Arabidopsis thaliana: one gene and its partner. The protein of the gene in region 2 interacts with the protein of the main gene of each other region in a pairwise test. Each region holds a gene or a part of one and is shown on either strand. Other genes may lie near its edges.

What was found.
Region 1: the proteins of AT3G11280 (region 2) and AT1G68160 interact in a two-hybrid assay, tested with the Arabidopsis thaliana proteins (one study listed by BioGRID).

The regions. Positions count from the first base shown.
Region 1 is NC_003070.9:25,544,959-25,550,544, forward strand, and holds AT1G68160 (ZZ-type zinc finger protein, putative (DUF3755)), read right to left. Parts: upstream 3,937-5,586; 5' UTR 3,668-3,936; coding exon 3,387-3,667; intron 3,285-3,386; coding exon 3,185-3,284; intron 2,794-3,184; coding exon 2,737-2,793; intron 2,596-2,736; coding exon 2,478-2,595; intron 1,935-2,477; coding exon 1,852-1,934; intron 1,773-1,851; coding exon 1,711-1,772; intron 1,636-1,710; coding exon 1,566-1,635; intron 1,261-1,565; coding exon 1,210-1,260; 3' UTR 800-1,209; downstream 1-799. Other genes in the region: WRKY9 (WRKY DNA-binding protein 9), read left to right, coding at 1-70, 346-657.
Region 2 is NC_003074.8:3,532,697-3,536,817, forward strand, and holds AT3G11280 (Duplicated homeodomain-like superfamily protein), read right to left. Parts: upstream 2,299-4,121; 5' UTR 1,926-2,298; exon of another isoform or gene 1,700-1,925; 5' UTR 1,698-1,699; coding exon 1,294-1,697; intron 1,169-1,293; coding exon 781-1,168; 3' UTR 515-780; downstream 1-514. Other genes in the region: AT3G11290 (Myb/SANT-like DNA-binding domain protein), read right to left, coding at 3,070-3,663, 3,736-4,121.

The DNA of each region.
Region 1 (5,586 bases), on a different chromosome or scaffold from region 2:
GAAAGGGAATCCATGTCCTCGAGCTTATTACCGATGCACCGTGGCTCCAGGATGTCCCGTTAGAAAACAGGTAACTGCACACACCCTCAAATTCCGGGGTCTTACTATTTATTTATTCAAAGATAAGATTTTATGTTAGGGAACCATTTTGATCAATTTACTGATAACGTAGTATTTTATAGATCTTCCAACTCAAAACGAATTGGTAATGAGTTGATTCGTCTATGTACTTTATATATTACTTTATGTCCAATGTAGAATTCATAGCATGTCATAACCACATTTGAATGGAATGAAACTATGTATATATATATAGTTGATAATGAGATTTGTTACATTGTGAAGGTGCAAAGGTGTTTAGAAGACATGTCAATACTGATAACAACCTACGAAGGAACACATAACCATCCACTTCCGGTCGGAGCAACAGCCATGGCTTCCACTGCCTCTACTTCTCCATTCTTGTTACTCGATTCCAGTGACAACCTCTCTCATCCTTCCTATTACCAAACTCCTCAAGCCATAGACTCTTCTTTGATTACATACCCACAAAATAGCAGCTACAACAATCGAACCATAAGAAGCTTGAACTTTGATGGTCCATCTAGAGGAGATCACGTTTCATCTTCTCAAAACCGATTAAATTGGATGATGTAGAGTTTCCTATATCTCTATGCTTGTTCTTTGGTCCCATTATTTGTCATTATGGATTCTTTGCCTTTCTTCTTGTTCTCGTTTCTAACATTTATGTTTCGTATATACAACATCGAAGGTTTCGGATTGTTTTATTTCGTTCAATGTTGGCTTATGAAAAATAAAGATTGATTAATGCTAAGAAAAAATGGGTACCAAAACAACACACCAAAAGATCAAAAGATTAAAGATGCAAATCTCAACACGCTCTTCAATAGAATCTTTTTTTATACACATCGATCGCTTAGAAATTCTCCAAGACACTAATTGAACTAAGTTTATCTAATAGAACTTGTTAAGAAGGTTTTTTAGTTAGGAGCCAGGACCAAGAACCCCTACATTCGTTATATTATGTCTTGTTTCAACATCCCGCGCAGCAATAAAGATCGTTGGTGTTACGAAAGAATCACATTTCTACAAACTTCCCAACATTTGATGAGCTTTTTTTTACCTCCTCCAGCTTCTTTAGGATAATTTACAGGTAACTAAGGGAAACCAGATGATTTCCTAAGACTTCTACTTCCTATGGAAGCCGCCACTTTGCATCGTATTGAATGGCATCATCACCTGGTACAAATCGAGGAAACCAAAGTCATTGATATTGGGAAGCTATTATTCTTCTGCTCTATTTGCTCTTGATAGACATTTCTACAAACCAAAACATTGAAAAACTGGTCTTAAGATACTCAGCTAGTTAGAAGCACAATAATTCTATATTTTGAGCACTTGAACCAGAGATATGGGGTTTGAACTACGGTAGTGTCTGAGGTAAAACAAGCAAATGGGTGATGTGGACATTTTGATATCTAAAACAATGGACTGTTAATGCAAAAGTGAGCAGCCTATTAACTTACTAAAGTAGTATTACTCACCGAGAGATCATCATTGATTGTGACTGGCAATGGTGGCATCTTGTTCATCAATCCAGGCATATTATTTATCCTGCCAAATCAAGACAACGTCTGGTCACTAAGCTCCACAAAACTTATACACAAAATGTTTAAAGTATCAACTTACTCATTTTGGATGGTGATAAGGTTGTTCCTTGCCTGACGAAAGAGATCTAGGTTATCCCCTGCCTGTTTGCAATTATCATTACGGAGCGGTTTTAGCAAGAACACATTTGCATTCCTTTAAACAAGGTAATCTAGAACTTACCTTATATGAGGAGAGATTAGCTCTAATTTGACTAAAAGCTCGTACATTCTGTTCTATAAGATTTGTTGCATAGCTACTTAAATCTGAAACAGAACCACGAAAGAATCAGTAAGAAAAGAAAAGAGACTAAAGATTATTGTGACTTCAACAAAACTTCATATGAAAGAGAGCTTAAAGGATCATCTTTACAAGGTAATAGGATCAGAGAGCGGACTTAAATAGAATTTCACCATTTAAACATACAATAGTCATTATACTCCTTTACTAGATGTATGAAATAAATAATCTCAAGAATGCACCTCTAGAGAAGGACAATGCAGTTAAGAAACCAATTTCAGTATCTATGGGTAAAGGCTTCTTCCAAGACTAAACTACTTTAGAGACGTAGTTATGTTAGCATCGTCCCAAGAAGCTAAAAGTCTAGCTGAAATACACTAATCCCCTATGAACTTATTTATATAACAAAATACATACTTAAACGACATTTGCACCATAATACATACATCAAAACGTATTGCCTCCTTTTGAAAACAAAATATGATGTTAATGTGTGCATGTCAATGAAAAAAAAGACCTGGAGTTAGCAAATTCAGGTGGAAATCTCTCAGATAAAGATAGATGTTAACCTTCAGACGTAATTTGTTTACTGGTGCTTGTAGATGGCCCTGAGAAAGGATATGAAGCCATGTTATGAGGCAAAACAGAGGGAATGCTTGACTTAGACGACGATTCCACCTGCTTGCCCTGAAGAAATATAAATCTTTTAGTACAAAAACCTAAATTAATCAAAAGATATTCAATCTCAATCCTAGCATCATCTTTCAATCGAACTTACAAAAAAGTCACTCATCAAAATTGAACAAATGGCAAGAATTTCCAATATACCTTGCTAGAACTTGCTCTTCTTCCACAGTTTAATTCTTCTGATTTTCTTCTCTTTCTCTATGCAAAACAAAGTCAGTACATCAACAGACGAAGACAAAAGGTAAAAGTAAGAAATGATTCAGTATATAAGAGAAGAGAAGATTTTGTTCAAAACTCAAAGACTGTTATGCTCACTATTCTCATCTCAAGAACTCAATATTGATACAACTCAGGCATCAATAAGACCAAAAAGTCCATCCTAAGGCAAAACCATTTCATTCTGTGTACTGTAGTTTAAGAAGCTATGTATGAAATCAGAACATGTAGAAACTGTTCCCTGTGTATCATTTTTCTTTGCTATACATATATCATTCATGGCATAAGCGTAGAACTACATGACTGAAAAATGGTCACAAGAAAGCTACAAAAACCGTCAGAACAAGGCAGATATGTGAAGAGAGATACTTACCCTCAGCCACCTACACCGCAAAGCAATATCTCGAATACTTTTATCAGGTAAAGTGTTTCCAATTTGAATATACATATCAATACTTGGCATATCCTTATATCTACAAAAAACACAGAATCAGATCATATCAAATTCCACAGAACAAAAAACTATCTTCATATCCTCATTAATGTTAAGAAATCACAAAACAAGAAAGACTCACTTTTCAAGACCAGCATCCAATATGTATTGTTCTTCATTTGACCATTCACTAACCATGGAAGTATCAAGCTTTAGACCAGAACCCGAATCGGAACCATTCGAAGAATTCCCGGTTTGAAGAAAACCAGGAGAACCAACATTGATCATATTCATATTCATCCCCAAGTACGGACTCATTGGAGTCATCTCCGAAGAAGTGTTAGATTGGAAATTAATAGCGTGACGACTCATCATAGAACTCAAAGAATCGAACCCAGAATTTGATTGAGTAGCCATCCACATAATCGAACACAAACCCAAATAAAAAGATTAAAACTTTAACAATTAGAAATCAAACCCAAAACTCTCCTTTGATCAGATATGAAAAAAGGATCAAACTTTGAGAAGGTGAATCATCTTACGCCATGGATAAAGCTTGGAACTTTATAAACCCTAAGTTAAGTTCTCACAAAGAAACCAAAATTTGATTTTGTTTACCAAATCACAATTTTTTTTTTCTTTTTTTTTTTTTCTCTTGTCCTCTGTATATTAGACAGAGCAGCCTTGTAAGCTATAAGCCAATGAAGGATTTTTAGACAAATAATGAAAAAATTATTAATACATTACTTTATGACTTTTCACCATATTGATGATAAACTTAATTGAAATCTAATATTAATTATTTTCCAACACAATTAGTTGAAATGGAAAAAAATGGATTTTGACTATAAAAGTAAGTAGGAATGGGGAATTTTAGAAAAGATTCTCTTCCTAAATTGAAGGGAGAGATATGACTAAGAACATATTCATTTTTTTTTTTTTACTACCAAAATTAGTAGAAAAAAATAAGAAAATAGGTAAATAAATAAAAGAGATGGTTGGCAGATCGTGGAATTTAGTAAATAGTGCGAATCCCAATAATAAAGCATTTGATGCCTTTCTTTCTTCTACCTCACTTTTTTTATTCCAAAAAGTTTTATCAAGTAGACAAGATTTTTTTTTTTTTTTTTTGTTTTCTAATAATGTCAATGTGTGACATCCTCGTTGTCAAAATCTCAAGATATATGAATTTGATTCATATTTTTTCTTTATGTTAATACAAAAATTAATCTTAGCATCTCAATAATTGTGGGATAAACTGATCCGTTCGTACAATACTTTTACAATTATATGCGACTATGAAAATAATTGGACTCATAGTTATGAACCAATAACAGAAGCAAGCATATAAAAATCGATGAAGAGTTTTTTTTTTTTTTTTTGATATTTAAGAAATTATTGATACACTAAATAGATCAAGAAATATATTCATACACCAAAATGATGTTTTGATTTCTGTTTTTTTTTGTCAACATTTATAAGGAGCGAGACTCGATCCTCGATGTCATGTTCTCAGTGGACTTATCATTTGCAACAAGACTACTATCACTTAACAATTTTGATTTCTGTTTACTATCTAAATGCCATCAGCTTTTATAATTTTCATTTTTTTTCACTAGATAAGTTAGGTTTTTTAAAATTTGTTATTAACTCACACTTCAAATCTTATCAAGATTTTACTAAGGTAAAATTGATGTACCGTCGTTTCTTTGTCGTTGCAATTTTCCTCGATTGATGTATGCTCTATTAGTCCAAATTCAATTTTCATTATCCCCAACCCGTATAAGTGAATTAACATAAGCTTCTGGTAAAAAATGCTTATCAAATGAAACATGTTAAAAGTCATGGACACTTAAACATATTATCAGGCCTGACGTTTATATTGGGCCACATGCTATATTTGTAAAAGACTAATTTTATACGCATTTAAGATTTTGCTTAAGAAACGAATAAATTTGGGCTCTAAAATGCTATGAGCCCAATAAACTGCACATTATACTTGCTCCACTAACAGTAATACAGTTTCCTTTTTTTTGGTAGGCTAATCTGAACAGTTTCCTAATAATGCAAATCAATATAATTAATTAAAGATTTGTTTCATTCAAGTTAATTTAACTCCGAACATTATGTTATGAAGAAGAGAAAGACTTTGTTGTTGGACTTGATGCACTCTTTCGCTCATTAAGGTGATCCATACATTTTAATTTCAAAATTGTTGGCAGGAACTAGATTTTGGTTTTACTGATTTACAATGTTATTAACTACAAAAAAAACAAAAAACAAAACAAATAAGTTATCATATCTATCAAGTCTCAACTATTAACTTGTGGCCTTAGCATCTC
Region 2 (4,121 bases):
ATATGAACTGTGATAAATAATATTTCAAAGTTGTTTCAATATAAATTTATCAAAGTTATTTCAAGTTGCATAATTCAAATGTGAGCAGTGTTTAGATTGGGGCACCAAATGATTAAAAAATAAAATAAACATTTCATTCATATATGTTTTTTATACAAATGACACCATTATACGTAATTCTAAATACGTTAATATATATATGAGTCAGGAGGTTGGTGTAATAGATGAGAAGAATGAGGTTCTTTGGTCAGAAGTGGAAAGCAGACTCAGCCTCTATTTTATACTCAAATCAATTCTTCATACCTTCCACCAAAACTTTACTCAATATTTAAAACTATACTATAGCCATCTTCTTAAATAAATCTAACCCAAAACATGTTTCACAAATTTCTCATTTTTGTGTGGTGTTTGATCTCTTTGAGTCTTTTTTTTTTTTTTAATCTCTTTAAGTCTTTATTACAGTATATCTTTATAATTTGCATTTAACACCATAAAATAGATATATTGTGGTAAATTGTTAGGGTTATCAACTTGTCATAAAGCACAAGTACTCTTTTTCACAACTATAAGTCTATAATTTAATCGAAAAGAAAACACAGATTTTTTTTAACATAACAGGTATTTAGTAGACAGAAACACAAAAATACAGAGTAAAAACAAGTTCTTACTTTTAAACCACACAATACATATATAATAAACTTGGTTTTGCTTATATTTCTCTAATTACAGTTTCAAAACTCAGATTCTTAAGAACGCTGAGTTTGGGGATTCTATGTTGCCTTAAGCTCCGGCACTGAAGACATTTTCTCCGGCGAAGTTAATGGCAGCTTCGAATGAAGTTGGTGATGGAGAAAACAGATTTTCTGAAGAGAGATTCTGACCCATAAATATTACTCCCTCCTCCGTATCATCCTTATCGATAAACCCTAAATCAGGGAGAATATCTCTATGATCGGAAAAGGAACGGTTGAGATTGGCATTGAGAAGATTGCCGGTTGTGATGTCATGGATACTTGGCCTGCGTTTGTCCTTGGCTCCGGAGAGCTGTCTCTGGTAATACTTTTGGGCGTGGCTCGCCACTTGCGTTGGCGTCTTTGACACCACGAAGTTTCTCGATATGTTTCTCCAATCTCCTTTACCGTACTTGAGAAGGCCTAACAAGAATCTCCTGCAAGGAACAAGAAACAGAGCATTGAAAACCCTAAGAAAAAAGGGGATGACTTGCGTTGCAAGGAACCTAGGAAGAGTGACTTATATGGAAAGAATTCTGTAGAGATGAAAGAGTGTCTTAACCTGTGTTCTTCCTCTGTCCAAGGGACTCCTTTCTTTCGATCTTGATCAGATCCTCTAGCTCCACTAGGCCGTTTACGACACATGTCCGTGTCAAACCCCAAGGGAGAAGAAGCTGCAGGATAACCAGGAATGGGAACACGTCCTGCTTCAATATCGAAAACGTCTTCTTCAAGCTTACTATATTGCTTCATAACATCAAAAACAGTCTTTCCAGGGATCATGGAAGCAACTTTAAACCAGCGATCAGGCGAGTCTTCAGCGTATATCGCAAGAGCTCGTTCGAACATCTTGTTCTCTTCTTTAGTCCAGCTACCGCTACTCGAGCTGTGTAAGCTCACCATCTCTTGAACAACGAACCGGTGGTCAGAGATAGGTAGGTGAGAGAATGGATGCAGAGTCTCCATACCTAAAAACAAAAAAAGGGAAGAATAAGTTTCAACTACAAACACAGCTCAAAAAAGTCCATTTTCTTGCTCTATGTGTGGAGGAAGCTTAAAAGATAGATTTGTGATATAAGGAAATAATGGAAGCTTTTATATATAAGGTTTAATGATAATATAGTAGGAATCAAAGAAGAAGAAAAACAAAAGGGAAGGAAAAATGAAGAATCGTATACTGAGGGAATCAAGAACCTGATTTGGGTAAGAGATTTGAAGCATATATAAAACCGACCCTCGAATCTGAAAAAAGACTCAAAGCTTTGAAGAATTTATGAGAATCTGCAAAAGTGAGTCGTCGAAGGAAGACAAAAACAGCAAAGCAAAGCCCACTTGAGAGATAGAGAGAGAGGAGAAGACTCAGAAGCTGAAGAAGACCCAGTAAAGAGAGAGAGATAGTGAAGGAAGAGTAATATACAGAGAGAGAAGAGTCACTGTAGATATGGGAACAGAGTGAAGAGAAAGAAAAGGAAAGGTTTCTTTATTTTTGGGAAGATTTGGCGTATTTGGATTGGAGAACAGCGAATGGCACCACTCCACTCGGATTCTTGCGGTTCATTTTTCTCAGAAAGAAAAAAAAAGTTGATTGATCTATTTGATTCTATTATTTAATTCTTTGGAATACGACAAATTTGTTCTATCGCCTTTTTTCTGGTCCACACGGAGACATACTGTATGGTTTTGTTATAAATATAATGTTTTGATAATTACAATCAAAAGCGCCTGTAGCTCAGTGGATAGAGCGTCTGTTTCCTAAGCAGAAGGTCGTAGGTTCGACCCCTACCTGGCGCGATTTATCTCTTTTTATATCTTAATTTTGTCTCCTTAAGGAGGTTGTTTAGGATTAAGTTCTTACCTGGAATTAAGTGATGATTGGTTTTAGTATCTATGCGTCGGTGGAAAATATTTTTAGAAAGTGTGACAGATTCAATAGCTAAAGCTCATTAAATCCCACTATCTCTCCATTTTACTTGTGATGCTCACATAAGTTTTAAATTACTTTCTGCAAACAGAGAAAATCAAATAAAAGTATATCGGTTGTATCAACTAATCAAACTGTACAAGGTTTTTTAACTTAAGTTAATTTTGAAGAAGAGAAGGCTACATAGAGTCATAGACGATAGGATACGAATGCTTTGAAGTTTATTTCTCATCTGCAATAGAGACAAGAGTAATTTCTTGCGACAAAAGTTAACCAGTAACTCTTATAATATTTCGACTGTCATAAAATCTTTCAAGGAACCTAATAATATAACATCTCACACTGTTCAAAAGATAAATCAAGAGTGTTTAGCATAATAAGACATAAGCAGAAGAAGTTTGGGAGAATATGACGATCTTAGGCAGCAATGGTAAGGCCACCAGATCGAAGTCTAAGCAGCCAAGACATTCTCAAACTTGAGTTCTTCAACAGCAAGAAAATCTCTCTGTACTCTTTCTTCACAAACAAATCCAACGCAAACAAGTAAAGATCACTACCTTGCTCAACCTCTTCCATGGAGTCCAAACACTCAATGCATTCCCCAATGGTATACTCGTACTGCCTAACCGATGCACTCACTGGACTCTCCTTCATCAGCTCAGTTTTTAACCTGTGGCATCCCGGAGTTACAATTTCAACATCTTGTAACCGAGACTCTGCAAAACCAACACTGTTAAATCTCCGGTGCTGCGGAGTAGGCTGCTCATCATCGTCATCATTGTCATCTTCATCAGCTCCACCTTCACTACCTGAGACTGGCTCGTTTGTGTAAAGTGTTGATAATGGAGTTGGGTCATGTAGCTGTGGTGATTCGGAATGATGATCAAGCACTCTCCTGCGATAAGAACGGAAATAGGCTTTTCCTGGTTCTATAAGTCCTTTGAAGATGGTTGCTAGTTTATCCGCGTGAGGAAGTTGTTTCCTTCTGAATGGTGCTGCTCTATGATTCTCCTGTTAATCAAAGAACCAATGTTAAGCTGCAAACTTAATCAACTAATATAAAAAGTCGAGTAGCGTTTATACCTTCAAGTAGTTTTTCCAGTCTTCATCAGTAGCACCAAATGTTCGAGAAGTTGCATCCCATTTCATGACAGGAGCACCAATCACTTGACACCAGATCTTCCACGATTTCCTGGTGCAATCCCAATGATTCTTGAGTTGCGGTCTGGTGAAGCTTTTACCGGTATTCTGATTGATAGTCTCAAGGATCATTTTCCAAGTTTCCTTTGGATAATGTGAGTCAGGTCTGTTTCCTTTTAAAGCCTCTTGGAACAACAAATCAACAAACAGCTCATGTGAAGACGGTGACCAGTATCCTTTCGACTGAGGACTCGAGAAATTAGAAGCGCTTTGCGTGTCTTCTTCATCTCCAGTATTATCATTATCTTCATCACGATGCTTGGCTATTC